Oryzias latipes: one gene and its partner. Each later gene encodes a partner of the first gene's protein in a complex. Links are inferred from orthologs where the notes say so. Each region holds a gene or a part of one and is shown on either strand. Other genes may lie near its edges.

Region 1 (5,270 bases):
TTTCATCTGCTGATTTCCTTTTTAACAGATAGCATATTTATGTCAGTATCACCTGATTAACATAGAAAGGGTTAAAGCGATGTCGATAAAACAACTCAGAAAAGTTATATTTTACTTCTGCTTTTCTACAACACTAAAGGCTCTGTGAAAGAGAATTATGTTTTACATATGTTTATTATAAAATAACATAAAACTGAATTACATTACAGCACAAGCTGATTCCTCACACAGGGGTGAATATTTTGATTTGTTACACAACAAAATTACAAAATATTAGAAATTTTACTTTTAAGCAATTAAAGTTGAGGGCTTGGTACTTTCAACTGTGAACTTTATATTTTTACAAGTGTTCAACAAAATAAAGGCTCAGGACTTTCCTATAGTGAAACTACATTGTTTTAAAGATGTAAATGATGTGCTAAATTAGTTTTAGGTTTTGTATCAGATCTTTGCTGATGTGAAAATACACCCCTTAGTGGCAGTAAGTAAACAAGCAAGGTGTTCACCTGAATTTACGGAAATTTAACTTCCTCCAGCAACATATGATGTGCTTGAAATTTTTAATTGAGATAAAATAATAGGTGTAGTTCTATCCAAAATGGAATAAATTACACTAATTTAAAAAAATGTCTAAGTAGGGATGACAGAAACATCATGCCTAATGCTAAATATCTGTCACAACACCAACAAGCATACAGATAAAATACATTAAAGAGAAATTACCTGGAAAGTTTTGGCAGCGCCACCACAGCTGAACCTTAAACAGAGATTAACTCTGTTATCCTTTTCCAAAATTTCAAAGGTTCCCTCTTTCCACTTGGTGCCGCCCAGCTCAATGGTGTTAAAGCGAATCTTGACAGTGCTACCACTGGAGAGTTTGGGCACAAAAGTTGACATGGCTTGCTATCCTGATGGTCCACTTGTTAGGTCTGAATTTAAGATGTACAAAAGAAATAAACATGTCAAGAAATAGTCACACGGGTAGCCTATAATGGCAAAAACAACCTCACTTTTATGACTGCTATTGCTATTTAACCAAATAAACAGTTTAAATGAATATTTTTACCATTGCTAAATGCCACATAACAAGAAGTTAGTATTTTTGTAACTAGTTTGCTATATTGTTTTTTTTACAGAACATGCAGCACCGACGTGCCATTCTGAAGATTATAAGTGATTTAATTTGTAGCCAACAATAACATTTGCTAAAAACTTGAAATGTGTTATTCAAAATTATAATAATAAATAAATAAAAGATACAGAAACAAAACTAATATGAGATATGTAGATACGTAGCCAACATGGCAAATGCGGTTTGAAGTAAAGGAAAAAGGTAGGACTTCATAATCCAAAGTGACAAGTTAGCATAACAGTACAATATGAATTACTGCACCACAAAAATCACAAAATATAACAAACTGCATATCCTGAACGGTCATTGAATTTTAGTTTTAAACATGTTTGTGTAGAGCCTGCATTTAAACAACAAACACTGACAACTCCAATGTTGCAGAGGAGAAGCAACACATTTTGAGCTGCGTTGTGATGCTCGTGGCGCGGCCAGAACCATAGATTCAAACGATATAAACAAAAATATCAGTCTATCAACGAACTAGTCGAATAACATGAATCTAATATTAAATGTGAAGCATGCAGTGGCGTTTTTGTTTCTTTAACAGACGCTTAATATGATGGAAGAGGCCCACATTAGCAACACTGGTTCCTAAGCTAGCGGGAGCTAGCTAACACAGTAATTTGGTGATGAAAACAACCACATTCAGTGCCATCGTCATTTCATTACCTGTCTAGGATCACGGTGGTGGTTCCAAACCTATAGAATGTGGACTTGACTTCGCAGATCCTTCGAGAGCATAAAAAAGGTTTTGCCGGCATTCACCTGCTGTTCTGTATGTTTGCTGCAAGTAGAGCAGCACACTACGCCTCACAGCAACGGGCGATGATGGCGGGAATGGGAACATTTACAACGGAAATGATGAACGAGATTGCGCTCCGTTCTCCTCTCGCGATATCTGAGACGTTGTTTGTAGCGAAGTTGTCCCTGCCGAGGAAAAAAAATCAAACGCGAGATTGAAAAAAATGCCAGTGTAAACTTGGTTTATTGATACTATAACGACAATAATTTCTTTTTGTGCTTCTGTAGTTCTCAGTGTTGGGATTTCGATTGAAGTTATGTGAAGTTACGCATGTTGTGGATCCCATTTGTTAGAGCACCTAGCAACTAGCTAAGCTAGCAGTTCGTAAGCATATGTCCATGGTTCTTACGGTGAGATTTCAGGGTCGAGTATTGCGAAGAGGTGCAAACTGACGAACTTTCTATTAAAAGAGTATTTTGAGATCCCGAAAAGCTTTCCAAAATGTTGGCAACGGGAGCGGTGAGTATCAAACTATTGCATCGCTCTCACGGTGACGTTCCCTCCAATTTCGCCTAAGTACATCGAAAATCTTTTTTTTCCTCCCAAATTTCAGCTTTCTTTATTGAATTAATTTTAAAGCAGAACTTCTCTTTGCAGTTTTCAAAGAAAGACTGCATAATATTAATGAAAGCCTCGTACAAATGTAGTACAGTATGGTTTTGGTATACATGTATTGCAGTTGGCAAATCATGAGACGTTTTTGTAGTTAAATTGACAAATAATTTGATTTTGCCCCAATTTGTCATAGCAGACATTTAACAAATTTACACGCTGTCATTTCCTCTTCATGATTTGGGTTTGCAGAAGGGGGAAATTAAACGTAGGTTACATATATCTTAATTAGCGTAATGTTTTTGTTCTTGAGTGTTTCGTTTGTTTGCTTGTTTAAAGAATTGATTGCGAATGGATTGATATTTTCTTCCTATCAAAGGCTGTAACCAACGTCACAGCCCTGGCCCAAGTAGACCGTGAGAAGATTTACCAGTGGATCAATGAGTTGTCCAGTCCAGAGACTAGAGAGAATGCTTTGCTGGAGCTCAGCAAGAAGCGAGAATCCGTGCCAGACTTGGCCCCAATGCTCTGGCATTCATGTGGCACCATTGCTGCCCTGTTGCAGGTATTGGTCCACCTGTTCATTTGACACAGGTCATCCCATTGGGACTGTTTGTGCATCTGTGCCTCTTGTATGGTCTTTATTTTTGTAGTGGTGTTAAACAACTCCTTTTGTTAATTAAATTGTCCTCCTTTTTTTTTTTTTCAGGAAATAGTAAACATCTATCCGTCTATTAACCCACCAACCCTTACAGCCCACCAGTCAAATAGAGTGTGTAATGCCCTGGCACTTTTGCAGTGTGTTGCCTCACATCCAGAGACACGGTAACAAGATAGTTATTGTTACTGAAAAATCAGATTTTTATTTTTTATTTTTAGTAATTCTAATAATTAACTGCTCTTATAATGTTTTAAAGGGGTAACAGACCACAATCTGTTTTATTTATTTGTTTATTATTTGTTTAAAAAGTAACAGTCATCAGTCACTTTTAATACATACATCATACAGAATAGTGGATTTTTCCAGCATTTAGCCTTTGCAGATCTTCAGTTTAAAGCGGTTAAAAGATAATAAATATAGTATTTTCATTTTTATTAAGGCCATGGTCTAAATAAATTGTTTAATATTAAGGTTTTGTTATGTAATTCCTCAATTCACTATAATTTAAAAAAAAAAACGAACTTATTTCCATTTGCAAGGTTTAATGTGTTACATTGATTAATATGATTTTATTTGTTTTGTCCACACCAGGTCAGCATTTCTAGCTGCCCATATTCCTCTTTTCCTTTACCCTTTTCTGCACACTGTGAGTAAAACGCGTCCATTTGAGTACCTGCGACTTACCAGTCTAGGAGTCATAGGTAATTTCTCCTGCTGAGATCATGTTTTTGTTGATTTTACTTTTAATTTAAAAAGTCTTCTCTTTTAGGTATTGCTCTGATAATTCTGTTTATGTCAGATCTTGATTTGTTTGTGTGTTCTTGACAGGTGCATTGGTGAAAACCGATGAACAAGAAGTGATAAACTTCCTTCTTACTACGGAAATCATCCCACTCTGTCTTCGCATCATGGAATCTGGAAGTGAACTCTCCAAGACGGTAATTACCAATGAAATCAAAAGCAGTTTTTATCAAGCAGGAAGAAAAAAATGGATTTTGGAGTCAAACATTCAAAATATGTGTTAACAGATTTGGGTTTTGGTTTTCTAAAACCTACTCTCATGCATTTATCTATGGTATGAATTTAACTCATGTTTCTACCATTGACTATAATTCTTTTTTTTTTATCAGGTTGCTACTTTCATACTGCAAAAGATCCTGCTGGATGACACTGGGTTGGCTTACATATGTCAGACTTATGAACGTTTTTCCCATGTCGCCATGATTCTTGTAAGTATTTTAGGATTTTTGTGTTGTGCACCTATAGCATTGTTGTGATAAAGATGTACAGTCAAGACCATAAATATTTGGACAGAGACACGTTTTTTCTAACGTGTCTCTCAGATCAACTCAGATGCCATTGAAGTGCAGACTTTCAGCCTTGGTTGAACAAAAAGATTGTATAAAAATGTGAAAAACTAAAGCATTTTTTAAACACAATCCCTTCATTTCTTGGGCTCCTAAGTAATTGGACAAATTAAATAACTGAAAACAAAATGGTCATTACTAATATTTGGTGGAAAACCCTTTGTTGGCAATGACAGCCTGAGCTGACCTCTCTTGATGAGAGACTGGCGGTAATAATTGGGGAATCCCTTTTAAGTGGTGTGGTGACTGAGGCGCAGGGGGAACACCGACGCGCCAGATGCACCGGGTGACATACCCCCAAAAGCCCGCAGAGGTCCAACAGGACAGCTCGAGGATTTTTTTTTTTTTTTTTTTTTTTTTTTTTTTTTTTTTTTTTAGATTTCCAAAATTTTTCATCCAACCCACAAGAATGAGTTTCTTGCAACAGAAAAATATTTCCGCCAGTTCTTCTAAGAAAAAGAAATAATGCTTTTCTCTTGGTTGTATCACGTAGTCCCCTAACATTTAAAGAAATTATTTTTAAAGAGTTAAACTTAAAATCAGTCATAGCTCATAGAACACAGAACTTGAAAATAAGAACAAATAACAATTCTATACCAACTTACCTAGCTTTAGGGATAAGTTGGAAACAAAAACTTGTTGAAAGTTTGACATGCCTTCATAAGGTAAATTCTAAGCCAACAAATGACTGTTGCAAAGGGAATATTTCTTAATTACCGACCTTTACAGTTACATCAATCAGTTTTTTAGATTTTC
Region 2 (4,252 bases), on another chromosome or scaffold:
TCTGACTAGAGGGACGACATGAGACCCATGGTAGCAGATGAACTGTCCTAAAAAAATAAAAAAGGGTTGGACTCCAACAGTGAGCCCTGGGGTACACCTTTAAAGATGCAACAAGATAAAGTTAGCTTTGCTGCTGGGGGTCACAGGTATTGGGTTAAAGGTTTGCTGGCACTCTCTCAGGCATCTGTCTGATCTCTGATGTCGCGTCTTCTGTCCTGTGGTTCAGGGCACGCTGCGAGTCCTCCTTGTCCTGCTGCACGACTTCCCAGAATTCCTGTGTGATTACCATTACGGCTTCTGTGATGTCATCCCACCCAACTGCATCCAGCTCCGCAACCTCATCCTCAGTGCCTTCCCACGCAACATGAGGCTCCCTGACCCGTTCACCCCCAACCTGAAGGTAAGAGAGCCCCGACTGTGCCTGTCATTCAGAACCATCACTCCGATCTTACAGACCCATTCCGTCAACATGTCCTTGTGGCACTTTTCTCCTGATTGACGACGTGTACAAAGAAAATGAAGATTATAATTGCATTTATGAAGTTATGTTCACACCGCCCCCGGCAACACGTGTTCATTTTGAATGAAAAGTCTGGGTAAACCAGCGGTTTGGTCTTCCGTGTTCAAAACTCTCGCTTAGCTAACCAAGTTTCTACCACGGTTGTACGTATAAAATACGTGACCATTGAACGCACATTGCAAGTTAAACCAGTTGAACTTGGACCAATCAGGGACTCAGATTTGGTAGTAACGTAAGGATGGGGTCCTTTTTAATTCACAGAAGTGCCAACGGTATGAAAATTGATCATGGAAGAGAAATAGATAATTGGGGTTTGTGCCCGACCGGAATTTTATGACACAGAGTCGGAAAACCGATTCCACATTTCACACCAAGCCTGTTCCAACTGTAGGTGTCGGAGATACGGAAACATGAGTAAGAAGCCCCTCCCTGCTTGTCCAGTGTGAACACCATGGGCTAAAATGTGCATTGCAAATGTGCAGAAAGTACCATCTAGACGAGCGTCACATGGATCCGTAACTGAAGTGTTTCTTTATTTAAATTATTGTGAATCCCAATCAGACAAAAAAAGTCCCATGTGCGGGGCACAAGCTGTCTGCCCCACTCTGCTTCACAACAGCGAGGAAGTGAATTTCTAATTAACTACTGCTGCTCTACAGAAACTAAGTCCTAGAAAACAACAGTTTTTTTGATGTGGGCTAAATACTGCATAAGTATAATTAAAAAAAACACTGGGAATGCTTTGAAAATAGATCAAAAGACGATGGGATTGGCACTTCAACCTGTCTGACATGACGCCCATCCCCCCACAGGTGGACATGCTGAGTGAGATCAACATTGCTCCCCGAATCCTCACCAACTTCACGGGCGTGATGCCCTCTCAGTTTAAGAAGGATCTGGACTCGTACCTGAAGACGCGCTCTCCGGTTACCTTCCTCTCTGAGCTGCGCAGCAACCTGCAGGTAGAACCAGAACCAGAACCTTCTGCTACAAAAACTGTTTTCACAGCGGCTGAGGTTTCTGTGAACTCTGCCTGGCAGGTGTCAAACGAACCAGGAAACCGCTACAACATTCAGCTGATCAACGCCTTGGTGTTGTACGTGGGCACACAGGCCATCGCTCATATTCACAACAAGGGCAGCACCCCCTCAATGAGCACCATCACCCACTCTGCACACATGGACATCTTCCAGAACCTGGCTGTGGACCTGGACACTGAGGGTTTGTTTGGGTCTGGCTGACTTTTGGAGCATTCTCGTTGCCTCTCTCCTCACATCTCTGCTTTTGTGATTTTTCAGGGCGATACTTGTTTTTGAACGCCATCGCCAATCAGCTGCGCTACCCCAACAGCCACACCCATTATTTCAGCTGCACCATGCTGTACCTGTTCGCTGAGGCCAATACTGAGGCCATCCAGGAGCAGATCACCAGGTGGGGAGGTCCCGTCCTGTCCCGTCCTGATGTGTGAACACCGGATGTCCTGTTAATCGTAGGCTCTCTGGTTCTCAGGGTTCTGTTGGAGAGGCTGATCGTGAACAGGCCTCATCCGTGGGGGCTCCTTATCACCTTCATCGAGCTCATCAAGAACCCTGCCTTTAAGTTCTGGAGTCACGACTTTGTGCACTGTGCCCCCGAGATCGAGAAGTAAGTTCACCACCCCAGGTTCAGGTCCGGTTTGTGGGCGCTTGCGTTCACCTGTCCGTCTGCGTTCACCTGTCCGTCTGCGTTTACCTGTCCGTCTGCGCTAACCTGTCCGTCTGCGTTCACCTGTCTGTCTGCGTTCACCTGTCTGTCTGCGTTCACCTGTCCGTCTGCGTTTACCTGTCCGTCTGCGCTAACCTGTCCGTCTGCGTTCACCTGTCCGTCTGCGTTCACCTGTCCGTCTGCGATTACCTGTCCGTCTGCGCTAACCTGTCCGTCTGCGTTCACCTGTCCGTCTGCGTTCACCTGTTCGTCTGCGTTCACCTGTCCGTCTGCGTTTACCTGTCCGTCTGCGTTTACCTGTCCGTCTGCGTTTACCTGTCCGTCTGCGTTTACCTGTCCGTCTGCGTTCACCTGTCCGTCTGCGTTCACCTGTCCGTCTGCGTTCACTTGTCCGTCTGCGTTTACCTGTCCGTCTGCGTTCACCTGTCCGTCTACGTTTACCTGTCCGTCTGCGTTCACCTGTCCGTCTGCGAATACCTGTCCGTCTGCGTTCACCTGTCCGTCTGCGAATACCTGTCCGTCTGCGTTAACCTGTCCGTCTGCCCCCAGGCTGTTCCAGTCCGTCGCCCAGTGCTGCATGGGGCAGAAACAGGCCCAGCAGGTAATGGAGGGCACCAGTGCCAGCTAGCCTGCGCAGCCACCAGCTAGCCTGCGCAGCCACCAGCTCAAAGCACCCGGGAGAGAAATTCGTGGCCTTGACCCGCCCCGCCCCCCCAGCACACGGACCCCCCCCACTTCACCGTTGGCACTGGACAAAACCGGCTCCTGCAGTCGTGAAATGTGAATGGAAGGACTGCTGCTCACGGATTTAAAGAGATTTTTTTTTCTTCTTTTTTTTAAGCTTTTCCCGTTAAGCTTGAGTTGAGAGGACAGATGTGAGCTTATTTTGACCATTGATGTAAATATTGAAGAAGAAAAGGGAGAGCAGGGAAGTGGATGGATGGATTTGGCTGCACATGTCAAATGTGTCCTGGTCTGTACAGAACATTTACTACCAAAGTCCTCAGTTCCTTCCCTCCAACACAAGTCTTTTTTTTTTTCTTGTTTTGTTTTTTTGAGAGGTGAACGGTAGTTACCAAAAAAAGAAAAGAAAAAAAACAACTGTCTGATATAATTTTTTCTTTGGTTCCTGATATTTTCTAGAGTAAGACTGATATTAAGATCTCCTGTTTGTGGTGGGTGGGGGGGGCTTCTCATGGTTTTTCCAGTCGATGTGGCCTCTGGAGGTCTCTCCCTGGCAGTTGTAAAATTGTGCAAAGTGATGAAAACATCCTAACTTGACAATTTGTATAAAGATCCAAATGGAAGAACAATAATAGAAGGACCAATACAGGCCATTTTGTAACATTTTGAATGTTTTGTAAATGTATTGGTCCATGTGTTGTATTTTGTAGTTCTTTCTAGTTTGCCTTTTGTTCTTGCTACTTAATTGCAGTATGCATACATACAGGAAATAAAACATTTGAACTGCACATCACACGTGTGTTTTCTGAGCCCATCACACTTGCTCTTTTATAAATCAGCAACTTCAGTTAGTTACCTTATTTTCCTTAAACTCAACAGTTATTTTCTGTGAAACTTTTCTGAAGACGTACAATAAACTACAGCCGCACATAACTGGACAATATTTTAATTCGCAATATTGATCCCTAATATCGCAAATTGCGAGTTTTTCCTCGGATCGTTCAGCCCCACTCAGAAGCTTCTTTTTTTTTGTGCAGTGTCATCAGACGAACTCTGCATTTTCATTTAAGATTTAAGAACTCTGACCCTCTATGTGCCTTTTTTTCCATCTTACATTTGGTTCATTTCAAGCAACAAAAAAAACATGCATAGATGTATTAAATTAAGATGTTAAGTCACAAGAAAGGCACAAATATGTCCACATTCACATGTAAACAATGTTATAGTCAGTCATAGACATAATGTACTCGTACAAACTAAACATAGTTTGTCAAAAAAAAAAGAATATATAAAGAATCCTACCCCTGTTATGTTTGTCTCACCTGACTTAAATATCGCTATACG

The links. The genes of interacting proteins can lie anywhere in the genome.
Region 2: the proteins of cnot9 (region 1) and cnot1 are in contact, whole or in part, in a crystal structure (PDB 4CRU), measured with the Homo sapiens proteins. The link is inferred for Oryzias latipes from reciprocal best matches to the Homo sapiens genes CNOT9 and CNOT1. Residues at the interface, in NP_005435.1 of Homo sapiens: Arg19, Glu20, Tyr23, Ile26, Asn27, Ser30, Ser31, Pro32, Arg35, Pro54, Met55, Trp57, His58, Ser59, Phe60, Gly61, Ile63, Ala64, Ala65, Leu67, Gln68, Val71, Asn72, Tyr74, Pro75, Ser76, Ile77, Asn78, Pro79, Thr81; in NP_057368.3 of Homo sapiens: Ile1415, Ala1416, Thr1418, Thr1419, Gln1422, Ile1423, Lys1426, Asp1427, Phe1428, Met1444, Asn1447, Leu1448, Gly1451, Met1452, Met1454, Ile1455, Arg1458, Glu1459, Tyr1548, Gln1549, Arg1552, Met1553, Pro1554, Gln1556, Ile1557, Leu1559, Val1564, Lys1567, Gln1568, Leu1569.

The regions. Positions count from the first base shown.
Region 1 is NC_019879.2:16,425,046-16,430,315, reverse strand, and holds the start of cnot9 (CCR4-NOT transcription complex subunit 9), read left to right. Parts: upstream 1-2,015; 5' UTR 2,016-2,375; coding exon 2,376-2,393; intron 2,394-2,865; coding exon 2,866-3,051; intron 3,052-3,195; coding exon 3,196-3,311; intron 3,312-3,738; coding exon 3,739-3,848; intron 3,849-3,975; coding exon 3,976-4,085; intron 4,086-4,277; coding exon 4,278-4,376; intron 4,377-5,270. Other genes in the region: usp37 (ubiquitin carboxyl-terminal hydrolase 37), read right to left, coding at 724-897. UniProt on the Homo sapiens protein: Component of the CCR4-NOT complex which is one of the major cellular mRNA deadenylases and is linked to various cellular processes including bulk mRNA degradation, miRNA-mediated repression, translational repression during translational initiation and general transcription regulation.
Region 2 is NC_019864.2:25,875,239-25,879,490, reverse strand, and holds the end of cnot1 (CCR4-NOT transcription complex subunit 1), read left to right. Parts: intron 1-226; coding exon 227-400; intron 401-1,332; coding exon 1,333-1,482; intron 1,483-1,560; coding exon 1,561-1,741; intron 1,742-1,818; coding exon 1,819-1,951; intron 1,952-2,029; coding exon 2,030-2,164; intron 2,165-2,773; coding exon 2,774-2,852; downstream 2,853-4,252.